Drosophila melanogaster: one gene and its partners. The protein of the gene in region 2 interacts with the protein of the main gene of each other region in a pairwise test. Each region holds a gene or a part of one and is shown on either strand. Other genes may lie near its edges.

The links. Proteins that work in one complex are often made in the same cells at the same time.
Region 1: the proteins of MCPH1 (region 2) and CG15208 interact in a two-hybrid assay, tested with the Drosophila melanogaster proteins (one large-scale study listed by BioGRID).
Region 3: the proteins of MCPH1 (region 2) and mthl3 interact in a two-hybrid assay, tested with the Drosophila melanogaster proteins (one large-scale study listed by BioGRID).

Annotation. Positions count from the first base shown.
Region 1 is NC_004354.4:10,898,354-10,902,235, forward strand, and holds CG15208 (uncharacterized protein), read left to right. Parts: upstream 1-1,611; 5' UTR 1,612-1,709; intron 1,710-1,776; 5' UTR 1,777-2,175; coding exon 2,176-3,273; 3' UTR 3,274-3,376; downstream 3,377-3,882. Other genes in the region: CG1582 (uncharacterized protein), read right to left, coding at 1-710, 771-838.
Region 2 is NT_033778.4:11,900,912-11,905,695, forward strand, and holds the start of MCPH1 (microcephalin), read right to left. Parts: upstream 3,008-4,784; 5' UTR 2,863-3,007; coding exon 2,670-2,862; intron 2,628-2,669; exon of another isoform or gene 2,553-2,627; coding exon of another isoform or gene 2,501-2,552; coding exon 2,254-2,500; intron 1,930-2,253; coding exon 1,708-1,929; intron 1,640-1,707; coding exon 1,447-1,639; intron 484-1,446; exon of another isoform or gene 77-483; coding exon of another isoform or gene 1-76. Other genes in the region: Zip48C (Zinc/iron regulated transporter-related protein 48C), read left to right, coding at 1-76; reb (rebuf), read right to left, coding at 3,929-3,933, 3,995-4,367, 4,484-4,784.
Region 3 is NT_033778.4:17,448,027-17,454,410, forward strand, and holds mthl3 (methuselah-like 3), read right to left. Parts: upstream 4,573-6,384; 5' UTR 4,427-4,572; exon of another isoform or gene 4,116-4,426; intron 3,271-4,115; exon of another isoform or gene 3,063-3,270; intron 3,007-3,062; 5' UTR 3,004-3,006; coding exon 2,503-3,003; intron 2,444-2,502; coding exon 2,293-2,443; intron 2,237-2,292; coding exon 2,060-2,236; intron 1,998-2,059; coding exon 1,743-1,997; intron 1,683-1,742; coding exon 1,511-1,682; intron 1,434-1,510; coding exon 1,239-1,433; intron 1,177-1,238; coding exon 1,092-1,176; 3' UTR 1,085-1,091; intron 800-1,084; 3' UTR 507-799; downstream 1-506. Other genes in the region: CG10764 (uncharacterized protein), read left to right, coding at 5,396-5,606, 5,870-5,915, 6,003-6,148, 6,201-6,384.

The DNA.
Region 1 (3,882 bases), on a different chromosome or scaffold from region 2:
AGGTGCCGTCACGATCGAAATTGCGACAACGTAGAGGAGGCTTTTTCTTCTTGTCGAGCGCCGCCTGGGCAGCAGCAGCAGCGGCGGCCAGGACCGCCTCCCTGGCCTTTCGCACCTCCGACGGACTGTGGGCCAGCAGATGGTCGATGCGAAACTTTAGGTTCCACACGCGATTCGCCTCGCGCTCCTCGTACGCCTTATCGAAGATGGACTCCAGGGCCTCCTTCTCGTCGGCGCGCATGTCCAGTATTTCTTGCTCGCTGGGTGGCTCGAGAGTCAGTTGCTCCTCATCGGGAATTCTCATATAGCGACGGTAGAGCAGCAGTAGAGCGGCTTCCGTGTCGCCGGAGCAGTGCTCATAAGCTTCAAGGCAGTGGACAGCCTGAAATCCGTAGTTCTCCAGTTTGGCCAAGGCATATCGGCGCAGGCGATCACCATCACTGTCGTTGCCACGCGTTGAGCTCACGCCCTGGACACTCTGCACCACCAGGGTGCCGCGATCCTGCCAGTAGGAGTGCTTCACGCCATGACCTCCGCGTCCACGATCCTTGTACTTGCTGATGTCGTCCAGCTGGAATTCCGGGCCGTGGATTTGGCGCAGCGTGTCCATGGTCATCTGGCGGGATTCATCGTTGAGCCGAAGGACGTGGAGCTCCGTTTTCCGAGACTTGTTGTCAGCCGCCTGCGATTTAGGCGCCGCGGGCACGTTGCTTTTGGTCAGGGATTGGGAATGTAAGAAAAGCTGAATGTAAGTTTAGCGGCGTACTCACGTGGTACGGATGTCGCTGGGACTGCGTAGGAAGCAGTCCTCCATGTGCTTTCTCGAGGATTCGTCCATGGCCACTGGCAATCGTCAACGTAAGTCAGGTAAGTAAATTTCACAACAAACGCTAGGCAGTGTTGTGCAGTCTGGCTTTTAAAATGTAGCTAGGTCACATGTTTAAAATAGCTAATATATAAACTCTCTAATATATAGATAAAATATATTGTATGTCAAGACACTAAAAAACATAAATTCCAAGTAAAAAATAAACGATATTTGTAACCTCAAATATATAACTCTAATATGCAACTTGATGCCGTTGTGAGACGGCTGTCAAAGATGGCATATGGCTACACAATTGCTAAATTGGCACCTCCGATACCAAATGGCGCGAAAGTGTGACCAGCATATGAATCGAGCTCGATATATTATCGGTACCATCAGCTGAAGAAATTTATTGATAAGCCGCGAGATTCAAAGTTACTTTGAATCGTAGCTTGTTAACGCCTAAAATTTGACGTATTCTGTTACAATTAGCCGAAATTTACCGGCCCCAGTGAGTGTAAGAACGTAAGAGCTCCCGAAAGGATCTGGAAAGGGCAAAAATTAATTAAAGATATATAGAGATTGACTTTGAAGTCACACTGAACGAGTTCCTCGATGGGCACCAGCAGAGGAATTTGTATTTCATCCATACATTCCCTTTTTAGTTTGTAAATAAATCTCATCTAGTTTCCTTTTGCGTTCAAATACAAATTTACTACGACTTCGTATTGCGAACGAATATATACATACATATAATAAAGATGGATTGATAAAGAAGTTTTCGTCTTTTGGCAGACTTGTAAGATATAAGCGGGCATCTATTTATAAAAATAAAAAGAACTTAACACGATTCAGTTCGTAGATCTTAACGTACAATAAGCTAAATTTCCTTAAGCGTAGGGTAAGCGTACGGGTTTGTAACTTAGTATTACCAAAAACAATATACTCAATCTTATGTCTTTTTACAGCCCCGCTTGCCAGCAGGCTTCTTGGCCTTCAGTTCGAATGAATGAGAAAATGAGATAAGGTCTTGGCCAAGTAGAGAATCTGAAGTTTACGCCAACTACATATGATTTAAAGAAAAAATTTACTTCTTAGCAAAATAAATTTTTTTTTATGAAAAGTAGCCCCTGCAAAATGTGTAACCCTCATTTGAAAGCGAGGATCTACACACATCAGTCAGTACGCTCCATACTCTGTTCACGAGAACATCGGATACTCGACCCGATTTTGTACAGAACATTTTCATGGAAATTTTTCTAAACATATTTTAACACTTCTTTGTCAAACTCTTCTTTCCTTAAAAATCAAAATTTAATTCTACTCTAAAAGCCCCATATCATTAGAAATTATCATAGCTCGCGGAGATGGAGAAGCAACTAACAGAGCACATGGTGGAAAGCATGTCCAGGTGCAGGGACTATGCCAAGGCCTTGAAGTTGAATTTCTGTAACTGCGGCCTGAATGACATAAGTCTCTGCCTCAAGATGCCGTACCTGGAGGTCCTTTCGCTTAGCATGAACAAGATCACTTCATTGAAAAGCCTGGTGAGATGCACTCGACTGAAGGAGCTGTACTTGCGCCAGAACGAGATAGCAGACTTTGATGAGCTGAAATATCTAGTCAATGCCAAATCCCTCACATCCCTCTGGCTGCTGGACAATCCATGCTCTATTGCCGCTGGCTCCAACTATCGGGCATCTGTGCTACGAATGCTGCCGAATCTAAAGAAGCTGGACAACGTAGATGTTGCCGAAGAGGAGCTGGAATCCGCTTTGCGATACGATTACTACCCGGACGTAGGGAGTGCGATCCTTAATCCTGTTTTGGATTTAAGCAACTGCAGTCCCGATGACATGGCATACCGCGATATGATCGAACAGTGCGATCGGACGATCCGTCAGGTCCAGCAGCAGCAAAGGAAAAGATTCGCTAGCGGGGATGCCAAAAATATTGACGAACTAGCTCGAATTAGAAGTAGATCGGTGTTGGTGAATGGTGAACGCTTGCCTCTGTTCTTTCCGTCCGATTTGCGTCAGGTGCGTCAGGCTCAAAAAGCTCAGGATGCGCTTCGGAAGCAAAAGAATCAGCCGATTTGGCATAATGAGCAGGTTCAGCAGGCTCATAAGTTTACGATGACTCCGCAGGCTGTGCACGAACAGGTTCAGGGTATTCAGTCAATTTCATCGGATCGGAACGCCGACAGCCCTGCCGCTTCTACCTCGACTTTAGCCGAAAATCTTATCGAGCTGATCAATTCGCGACGCCAAGATGTGGTGACCCCACCCGGACATCTGTTGCCCAATGTATCCTCTGGGTTAGCATTGAATGGCGCTAATTCCACAACTTTGGAGCGGCATAATAACAGTTTGTCGGCGGCTTTGTTACTCATCCAAGATATGAACGCATCCCAACTGGAGACTCTAGTCCTCGCCATCATCGAACAGTTCGTCCAACTTAATTAATTTTCAAAATTAATTTTTGTAACGTGATCTTAAAACCCTAATGATTATTGATTAATGCTCCACAATATATCCATTATATGAAATATATATTTAAAATATATCCAAATAAACATTGTACATACATATATGTATGTAAATAATAAAATGCGATTGCCATGTATTTATGGCAGCTATTCGCATTTTGCAAATTAATCTCCTACATTCGGAAATTCTGATTCAAATGGTGATAGGTATATGTACCTCATTCTTCTTTGATTGATTAATTTCAATATTTAAAGTAGGAAGTCCGTGGAATGCGCTCGACATTTGGCTCGGTAATTACTGTCGCCAGCTGAGCTCGTGGCGTCTTTGGCCAGATGAGTTTCGGTTTGCAGCTACCAGGAAATTTCAGGCCGTGATCATGATAGCGATCATGATGGCCATCAGGTAAACACACCAACTTTTCCGGCTTACAACAAAGGGCGACTCTTGTTTAGTCGTAAATAGAGTTACATGCCACTTCGGAATGGCAAAACTGAGGTTTGTTTCTTGGTTTCTTAGCTTCTTTGTTTGTTTTTTGTCACCGACACCAGGAGACATGTGAGCCCTGGAAATGATAGGGAAACAGAC
Region 2 (4,784 bases):
AAATGGAACGATCGCCACGTGGGGCACTGTATCCGGCTTCCTGATCATGATGTGTCTGGAGGTGGCGCTGTCGTGAGGAACGAACGGCTCGCCTTCGCCCGCCTCGCAGATTTCATAATCTAGTGCTAAACTCAAAGATTCCACTGTACTTAACGCAAAACTCTGCTGTCTTGTAAATAGAAGCATGCTGTGTACAAATCTCAGAACCAGCCCTAAACGAGAATCTAATAATCTAGCGTAGAGTGTAAGTTTTGTAGAAAGAAGCTTGACAACCAGCGATGCCGCGACGACATCCGTGCAATTGTGTATCTGTGCACACGTATCTGTACAGCATTCCCAGCGAGTTATGTAAATGAACTGTTCTAGGAAAATTTGTAAACAAACGTGCATGTGAATTAGGTTTTAAGTTGTCACCGGCGTCCAGTAGCTTGTGTCTTTTTTAACCGTCTAATGTCTAAGTAATAAACTAAACGAATTCAAATGAACATCTCTCAGTTGCACCCACTCGCTTTTTTCCCTCACAAATGTAGCTGTCTCCGTCCGGACAACTTCCTGACCGTTTCTTTGGCCGTACGATAGCTGATAAGGGCAAGTAAATTCACTTAGATAACCCGGAGTGCCAACAACAACAACAGCTGGTTGACTCGCTGTCAGCCAGTGATAAGTGATAAGAATCTGTCCGACACGAAGAGTTCCCAATATTGCGCGTATTCCGTGTTTGAGATACGTGCAGTTTCAGACGGCCCGCGGTCCTGCGTTTCTGTTCGCCATTTTCTGGATTAACTAATCATTTCAGATATGTATGTTTGTACTCGCACAAGTGCTTTGGGCCACAGTCCACCCACTGTGATCGTGGTCATCAGGAAAAGTGGTCGATAAGACCTCTTGCCGGCTATCTGTTGTACAATTTCCATATAGTTCTTTATGTGCGCCATAAAACCATAAACTCGGTATGAATGGCCTATTAGTTGGGGGCATATCTCAAGTGGAGTTAATGCTTCTGTGTCCGCAATGCCATAAATTGATAGTGTCAACGATTAGACTAATTAAAGACCTATTTCTTTTGTAATCGAAGTGTAAGTTAAAGCTGCCATTTCCAACCAAAATGTAATGCAGAGTTGATGAACTCGAAAGTACATTGTCGTCTTAGATCTGATAAAGCTTTTGGGAAGTTGTTAGGCCTAACAAATAATGATATGATAAGAATATTAAAAGTTGTATGAAGACCTTGATAAGTCAACTTTTAATATCTACGTACATACAAGCCTATTTTTGCAATGTGTTATTGGGTATTTTGCAGTGAGCTTAGTATTATGAGAAGGCAAGCTAAATTATAAAGCCGAATGGTGACAATTAAAAGTTATCTTCTTAAGCCCCATTTATCCCCATTTGAATATATAAATAAGATCGATGATGCAACAGAAGCCACAATTAGTAATAACTTACCGGCATTTTGCCAAAGAGCTCGGGATACTCGTACATGCGTATATTGCTGATTGGAAATTGCTTGGGATCGCATATTTTCAGCTGCACCTTGCAAGCTTCAATCCACAGAATGGAAACGACTGGTATATTCCACTCGGTGGCCTTTTTATAGGTGGAGAGCAGGCCATCCTTGAAGACAACGTGTGTGGTGGTTCTACAAGCCAAACGAAAAATGTTTAATTGAATATATTTTAGTCAATCAATTGTAATCCCTTAGCTTACCGCGTTAGGCGATCTTTGACCTGGGCTCCCATCTTGGCAATAATTGATTTTACGCCCTCAGAGCGATTGTCGTTTCCAGTTCGCACCTCCACATATACGACTATGTCCTTGAGCAACTCGGGGAGGGAGGGCGGCTCCTGGGGATTGCGTTCTTCCATCGTGATGATGCTTTGTTCGGCTAAAGGCACATCGAAGGTATTGTATGCCGACTTGGTGGGGCTTCTAAAAATGTATACAATGTAAAAGCGAATGCATTTTTTTTATTATGATCAGTTTCTTCTCAAATCAGATTAGATTGCATTGCAAAACAATAATTAATAATAATAATAATCAATACTTGGTTTTGGCAAAAAAACCTGGCTTGTTAATATAATAGTTATTGATGGATATGGAATTATTAGGGATTGCATCTAAAGAATCTAACTTTACAAAATTAGCGATAAAATGGCTATAAAAGGATGGATTAGTCAAGAATCTGAGCTGTTTTCACTAGTTGACCTTTAGGTTGTATAAATAACAATTGCAATAACCAATTTTTGTCCTTACTTTAATGCACGAATGGCGCGTAATCGGAGTGCAGCGTTGGGGCTGTTGAGATCTTGCTGCAGTCGGGCCCAGTGTCCTTCCTGCCTGGTTGGCGTGGCTGCTCCGATGGGTGGATCTGGTTTTGCTGCAGATCCTTCTGCTCCCGCCTCGTTCTCGTCCTGGTGGAACTCGGAGCGGTGCTGGCTGATCGCTTTGGAGACGGCTAATGCCGGCTTGAGCATCAGCCGATCCCTGGCCGCCTGGTCATCTAGCAGGAGGGAACGCAACTTGTTAGTAATGCTCGGTTCGTTTGTCGACATGGTAATCTGTTTTTTTTTTTTTTTTTTGAATACTACGAATTTTGGGTGAGCTACGTATCCGGAACTAAAACTACTGGGTTGGGTGTTCAAAATGTAAAATAGGCATGCACAGCCAACCTGCCGGGGCCTGGGATAGAGATTTGGGAGACGGTGCCGCTGCTTTGGACCTGAAGTCGCCCAGATTTGAATCGTGCAACGGTCGGCGGGTCGATGACGCCGCTGTTTTCTTGGCAGCTGCGGCGGAACTGGCCACGACCGATCCGTACGTCTTCGTCTTCCACGTGGGATTGCGCAACAGAAACTTGTCCATGGTCACGGGCTATGTTCTCCGCACTCTGGCGCTCCTTATTGCAATGAAGTCGGTCGCAAAACTCTGCAAAAGAGGCGCCAATAATTTTCTAATCCAAACCTCACAAAAAGTGCAACACAATGTGATAGTGTGACCGGGTAACCTCAATGCTACAAGATCACTCACTGGCAATCGGTTATCGTTCTCACCGAAAATCGATTGTTTTTATATGGTCTCCGTTTAGTACATTAAGATTTTAGTTCGATGACGAATTTGGCGGCATTTTATTATGTATTTAATTTAGGAGACAAAAAATCTTGTGATAGCGCAGGTTTACTTTTCACCACCAATGTTTATCTTAGAAAGAGGCAAAGCAGTTTAATAAATTTTAAGTTCCGATATTTAAACACAATTAGTAAATGCAAAAATGTCGGAAAATATATATAGATATAGATATGTTTAAATGTTCTCGTAAATGAAAATCAAACTACACACAATTATACAAAATACCTTTATTATTCAGTTTCAGCAGCGTAGATTGTAACCCGTTTAAAGTAAAACACTTATATTGACTTTCATAACTCTTTTTTAATGCGTACTAATATCGATTACATGTTTTTAATTTGATCTTATTTACATATGAAGTGTATGTACAGAAAAATAATAAGAAAATAATAAATTGAACTTGCCTAAAGTAGCAATTAATTTGCATATGACATTATCTGCCCCCATCCTGAATCTCAGCCAAACTCTCCGTGCGCTTATCGTGGGCTCTAGGACATTCTCTCAGTCTTAAACGATTTAAGAAACTATGGCAAAATTTTAATTACTCATTACAAATTGCATAATCATTAAATCTCTCTGCTTGACTTAAAGTTAACTGCGGTTAATTAGAGTTAGTGCGTATTAAGTGACGTACGCTAAATGGCTGCATTTCGCTGCATTTATCACAAAACTGAGCGAAATGCACTCCACAGTGATCCAGTGAATCGATGATCCTTCACTGACCAAACTTAATCGTAGGCTTTGACTAAATAATTTTAGAATTAACGCTAGACGATGAATAAATTAGGGCCAGCCAAAGTGATCATTCTGAAATGGCGAAATGTTCTGATTAACTGAGATACACTTAACAAATTAAGTGGTCACTTACCATGTGCGCTGATCAGACTACGTGCATCCCAGAGGGACATTTGCGACTGGGAGAGACGGTGCTGCGGTGGATACAGTTTGTAGGGGAAGTACGAGTGGTGGAATGTGGCAATGGGAATGGGTTGCGCCGGCTGCAGGAACTGCTGTTGCTGGTGCTGTGCCGAGATCTTCCGCGAGATCTTTGGCTCCTTCTTGGGCTTGCTGGCTCCTCCAGGGCACGGCTGCTTCGAGGACTTGATGAAGTTGGGAATACGCGCCAAGAGTCCGCAGTAGTACGGATCATCCTGCTTCTTCCGCTGCTGCGACCCGCTGCTCTTCTGTCGCTTCTTGTCCGCATATATGGGCGTCAAAGATCCGCCAGATTCGTAGTCGGGCTGCAAAGTGTAAAAAGCAAATAAGAATTATTAGGCTAAGTTTTTTTTCCCAAACAGGTTAAAAGGTTTGAAGTCCCAAATTTTTCAGGTAGAATGTAATCTAGGTTAGAACCCACCTTGGGCACATATGGACCCTCGTTGAGGAAGGCGGCACTAAAGATGCTGCGCCGTCCCTTGCTGGAGTTGCTCGAGTGCTGGGAGTTCTGGGAATCATCCGACGCGGCGGGCGTAGGATAGATCAATCCCACTTGGCTTTCGATGGTGGAGTATGGATCCTCGCTGCTGTTCGTCAGCGGCACTCGCATGCCCATCGCATCCAGTGACTTGGGAATCGTTTGGAGGCGGCTCCTCAGCATGTCCATGGCCACCACGTTGACCACGAGTATCCAGACCGGAGAGTTGATAAGATTGTTGTTC
Region 3 (6,384 bases), 5.5 Mb from region 2:
ATGTGCGCTGCTGTCACCGAATACCTCGAATATCTCTTAAAGTAACTTCTCAATTTTAAAGCCGTTTTTCAGACTTAAGGGCAATGAAATGATATATATATATATATTTCAGTTTGTAGTGTCCACGTTTGCTTCATAATATTGACACGTCCACTAACCGACCAAATCAGTCACGCCCATAATTTTCAAAAATGCATTAATTTGTTGTATTTTATTATTTTTTCTTGCCAATTACTATCGAAACGAAAGAGAAATTTTTAAATGAAAGAACTAGCTGAGAAATGAGTATCTTATAGTCGAGGAACTCGACTAGATCGTTTTTTTGTAATTTTCTCTATCGTTCAGTTCTATGACTTTTTATGATTTTTTGCATACCGTTAATGTAAACCAATATTCCATTTTTTTTTTAAATTTATATTCAAGTAATTTATTGTTTTTTAACGATGTGCTTGATAAATTAAAACTGTGTTATTATTATTATCCTAAGTTAATAACATTTTAAAGTTGTTTATAAATATTCAGAAATTTTTATTTTTAGTTAGTCATTGTCATAAAAAGTCATAATATAATCATTTGTAGTTCTTTGAATTAAGTTGAGGCAGTAAAAACAGTACGAATTATTACGAAATTATTATCACGAGTGAGCATACATAAGTGCTGATGCGAAAAGTATTTTCCTGAGTTTTTATCCTCCATCCATAATAATAGACCAGGGTATATAAATGCCGAGTATTCATGCCTATAAGATTCGTACATATCCCCATGTAGTAGTTGCTTTGATCTCGCTTTGATGGCACGTCTAGGATGGATTGGAATAGATTATTATTGCAAAAAGTTATAACTTAAAGGACAATTACATTCAACATTTAATTAAAACTTAGATATGCTTAGACACCGTGCAGAAATCAAGATACTTGAAAAGTGATAAGTAGCAAATATTCGTAGCCCATATGAGCATACGATATGTGAGCAATAATGAGCAAGCAAAGCAGCCTTTGGTCACGATCATTAGGCTGCCTGTTAGTGATTCAAAATAGAAGGTTTCCAACACCAAATGAACTAATAAACTGTATTTTCACATTACCCATATATTAAAAAACACTGGGGTCAATTTTCGTATTCTGAAGTGAGATATGTTCATCGCTGGCGCCGGCTTCATCCCTCCCACCCTTAATCCTGCTCAGCCAGATGATAGAACCAGGTTAATTGGACCTCCTATGGAAGAACCGATAACTTACCGTTCCTTCAGTAGCTTCAGTGTGCTGGGCCTCAGAACAAATAGCAGAAATATGACGGTGCCCTGTGACCAATTGAAGTAATCAGCCACCATAAAAGCCTTGGCCCAAGCCTGATTTTTGCTCAACAAAAACGAGATTATTTCCAAGCTCCAGGACAAGCCCATGATGATAAAGAGTCGCAGGAATAGGGCGTAACTTTAAAAGCCATAGAAAATAATTTAAAATTTAAACTTTTGGATTTAGAACTGTATAAAATATGGTAAAATTATTACGTCTGCTTGTCCGAATTGAGCCTATTGGTTGTTTTTTGCTGTTGAGTAAAGTTTTGTGCTTCCTTCTTCACTTTCATTATACGAAAAGCCGTCAGGACAAACATTGTTATGTTGAAAACAATTATCAGTAGCATCGGGCCATAGAAGTAGATCATGACAGTCATATCCCCAGCTGTTGGTTAAAAAAAAAACGAGTTACACCGCAATTGTTATTATAGGAATAGTAACTTACTGTAGATCCAACAATTTTTGCCGACGCCCACGCGGGGTCTCAACTTCTCGTTCTTAACCACCTGGTCAGCTATATAGGTGATTGCAGTCAGGAGCAGCGCCATGCCCCAGGCGTATAAATTGTAAGAAAGGAACCGATTCTGTGGCAAGAAACGGTTCAACCAGCTGGAGTTGCCGCTAAATGAATTCCAGAGGGTAAGACTGATGACAGAAAGCCAAAAGAACGCGGCGATGACGGAGAAGTAGCCCAGGAACCCTGATCATGATATCGAAATGTGAAATTGGTCGTCCTTTATCTTGTAATCGCCACAAGCAAACCTGCTGTAACGCAGAAGCCGGAGGAGTATTTCCACACGTTGAGGACCAGGAAGAAATATCCCAGGAACAAGGAGGCCAAGTAGCAGATGAAACACTTTCCGTGCAGGTTGCGAAGCTTCTCAACATAGAGGTACACGCTGATCGTTAGGATTATGCATATCAAGGATATCACTATCGCTGTGAAAATGGACATTAACTAAAAACCTTAAAGTCAAGCAGGGAATTCAGCTTACCAACGGTCTTCCACGTTCTGGAGTGCTCAGACGAAAGTGGACAGAAGTGGGGTGCAATTCGGATACTATCATCCTTAAATGAAAGATGCTGGACGCAGTACTCCCGCTTGCTCAGTTCCACTTTGTCCCAGTGACGCAGAAGAGAGCCGTTCTACAGAGATTCAAAAAAGGTTACGATCTTCAGAAGTGACAGAAACACAGGAAAGTAACCTCAAACAGAGTGAATTCATTGCCCGGCAGTTCGTGATTCAGAAAGTACATCCGGGGACATCCGGGCTTGGCCAGATCCGACTGCACGATCAGATCCTCCTTGAAGTGTCTCCTGACCACCGACCCGTCGCTGAGCGTCACGTTCACGAAGGGATCGTGCTTGTTCAGCTCGTCCTCCGACATGTCGCCGTAGCACTTGCTCTTTTGCATCTTTTGGTACTGGGGGCAACAAAACCGAATGCATGGCCTGAGGTGGCAGGCACATCCTCGTACGTGGCTCGCCACCTTCTCCTTCGAATCGTCGGCCAGGAGCTTGTAGTCATATTCAGCTGTCAAATGGGCGGGGATCAGCAAGCCTTCGTAGAGGTACGATCCGTTCGAGAATCTTGGCGCTTTTGAAATATCTACGGTGTCGAAGAAGTCGCAACCGGGAATTTCGGCATTTGAGTTTTGCAATAACAGCAAAAGAAATGCGGTGAACGATCCAATAACTATTCGCATTTCCTGCCAAACAAAAAATCATATGAATATTTTTCTTCATATGGGAATAGAAGACGTACATATCTGTTTTTTTATTAATCCTAAAATTGTGTTTTTTTATTTGAGAGCGTACAGAAAGACGTTAAAATGTACATGTATTGCAGCTTAAATTGGAAATTCCATAGAAGCCAACAGACCCACCCATTTATTATTCTTTGTATATGTATGTACATACATACATATAAAATACATCCGATAATTCTGCATAATTTGTTTGCTTTTGTGTGTTTTGTTTTTGTTGTTTGTTAAGCATTTCACTTCTTGGAACTTGACCATAAAATTCATTGAGATTTCCAAGAAATCTACACTCTAAATTTTGGCACAATTAACTGATTCAGTTTCCAAAAAAAAAAAAAAAATTGTGTGCACAAGTTGCCAAGACTCTGGATTAACAAAGATAATATTATATTATACAATTAATTTTCTCCCGCTACCATTCAACTTTTTATATTCGTTACTTGTAAATTAAAAGGGTTTACTAGATTCGCTTGAAAGTATGTAACATGTAAAATACAAGTTTACGCCCCTTTAAAGTAAATACATATACATTGATCAGGATCCCTAGCTGAGTAGACCTGGCCTTGTCCTAATGTTCGTCTGTCTTAATGAAGGTCCAGATCTCGAGACATTATTTCCGTCCGCTTCTAAGGAAGCTCGTATCTGTTTTTATTCTATATGCATATAACTTTAGATAAGAAATAATAAAAAGATAAATTGACTATAAATTCATGCTCGTTGTTTCTGACAATATACAATTTTAGTTATAGTTTGATCAAAATTAGGCGACTGCATCATATAGCTGAAAATAGGAAAATACCGATAATGCCCTTACGCCAACAAACCGACCAAAACTGCCATGCCCACACTTTTGCAAAATTTTTTGTTACCTTTTCATATTAATTACATTCTCTTGTACATTTCTATCGATTTACCAAAAAACCTTTTGCCACGCCTACGACAATAGAATTCCACAACTATAGCATTTTCTCTAGTTTTTTAAATACATTGAGTGCAAGGGTATTTTGGCTTCGGCTTGTGAAAGCTGCTTTCTACCTTCTTTCTATTATACATACCCACATGTTTGTATGTGTATGTAGATTCTCATTTTTATTTTTCACTGCCAAAATTCATCCGTACGTTTGTTTAACATACAAACACATACATATGTATGCACATTTTTGCCTTTAAAAATGTTTCATTAATGCCCAATACAGCCTTGTGCAAATGTATCCATGAAGTGACTGGACACACACACATGTGCGAATTCTTAAATGTGTTAGAAGAGAGCAACATTTAACGCTCTCTTAAATTCACAGAATTTGTTATTTAAATATTTTTCACTGGAAACTTATTATTATTGTTTAAAACATTGAAGAAGAGTAACCTTTAACACAAGCAACTGATTTGCCGCGACAAATTTAAATACCAATAAACCTTAAAGTTTAAAATAAAATATACAAGTGTGTATATTCGCAGCCGCGTTATCTTTTTTACCGACTGATCCGTTCCACGTCGAAAAAGAGACTAGTCTTCCATTTTCACAAATTCAGATTGCGTCCGTGTGTTCCATAAAGTTCTTCGAACGATAGAGTTGCCATTTAATTGACAAGATACTAGTTCCAATTGTTTCACCACACCAGTTTATTTTTTTTAAATAAAAGGTAATATTTTTATTTTTAAAAGGTGTTTCTGAACTTATTGATAGTTCTATAACTAAACTCAGTTTGGAACTCAGTTCCAATATTGTTTTTTGTTAAGTGACAAACGGTTTTCAAACAAAATAAGTCATATCATACGTCTGCGTGATTAGCACTAAAGTTTTGTTAGGAACTATTACATCTTATATCTTATGTCTTTATATGTACAATTTTCTTTACCTATGAACATATCTAAGTGAATATCAATGTTACATTTCTAATCTTTAATATTAATTCTCTGATTGAAAGGCATTAACATACTAGTTACTCGTGGGTCAAAGGGTACGCCAGATTCTTCGAAAAGAACGTATCACATAGAGGAAAATGTTTCCGACCTTATAAAGCACACATTGTATGTACATATGTATGTACATTCTTCATCCGAGATTCCCATGTGCGAGATTAAACATGCACATTCTAGGAACGCACAATAATGCAAATCCTAAAACGCCCACAAACCAAAAAAAAAAAAACATTCTTTGATTTTTTTTCTTATCAATAGTTATTTTAATTTAAACTAAAAGGGAAAACCCAAAAAGTTGTGCAAAATCATATAAAAAAGAAAATTCAAAAGATCTTTTAATATTCAGGCGTTTTGAGCTGATAAGAAGCTTTCTGAAATGTTATGGATTTAGTCGTACATTGCCTAGGGAGAAATGCGGTCGTTGGTCTCGGTTGCTTTGTTATCTTTGTTAACTTTGTGTGTTACAGAAAATGAACACTTTAAGTTTTTAGAGACTCCTTGTGGGATATCAACCCGTCCCAAAATTAGCGGTGGTGACGATGCAGCCGAGCCAAATTCTATATGGATGGCAGCGATATTCAATTCATCCGATTTTCAATGCGGTGGCACAATTATACATATGCGTTAGTGTCTTTTTTAACTTATGTATACCATACCAGTCACAAGTATATGCACAATTTTTCTACCCTATAATACACATACATATGTCATTAGCTAATCATGTTGCGTTGAAATTTGTAGGAATTAAGGTATTTAAATGTCATTGACTAAATGTTGCATATCTGCATTTCTGTCTCTGTTTCCTAGCTGTGTAATGGGTATACAGTAGTCGCGATTACTGTTCTTGCCTTCTCTATATATTAATGAATATATATTTTTTTTCTAGGTTTTGTGTTAAGTGCTGCTCATTGCTTGGTAAGAGGATATGATCTGTAAGTGAAGTTCGAAGTTACAATAATTCGTGCTTACGCGGTTAATTTAAAAACGAATATATAAATATGTGGATTTATGAAATACAGATACGTGAGGTTGGGGGCACGCAACATAAATGAGCCCGCTGCTGTCCACACAGTCATTAATGTCTTTGTGCACCATGACTTCATTGCATCGGAATACCGAAATGATATAGGACTGCTTCAACTGTCGGAGAGTATCGTCTACACAGGTATGTATGCAATTTAACCACCGTAGCCCCATTTCAATGCATTTCTTCGCAGTTCGAGTTCAACCAATTTGCATCTTTTTGGATCCGGCTCTCAAAGGGAGTGTTGAAAAATTGAAAACGTTCAGAGCCCTTGGCTGGGGAAATAGGAACGGAAAATTGAGCATAATGTTGCAAACCATCTATCTTCTACACTTGAAAAGAAATGAGTGCAAACGCAAATTGAACTTTAATCTCAA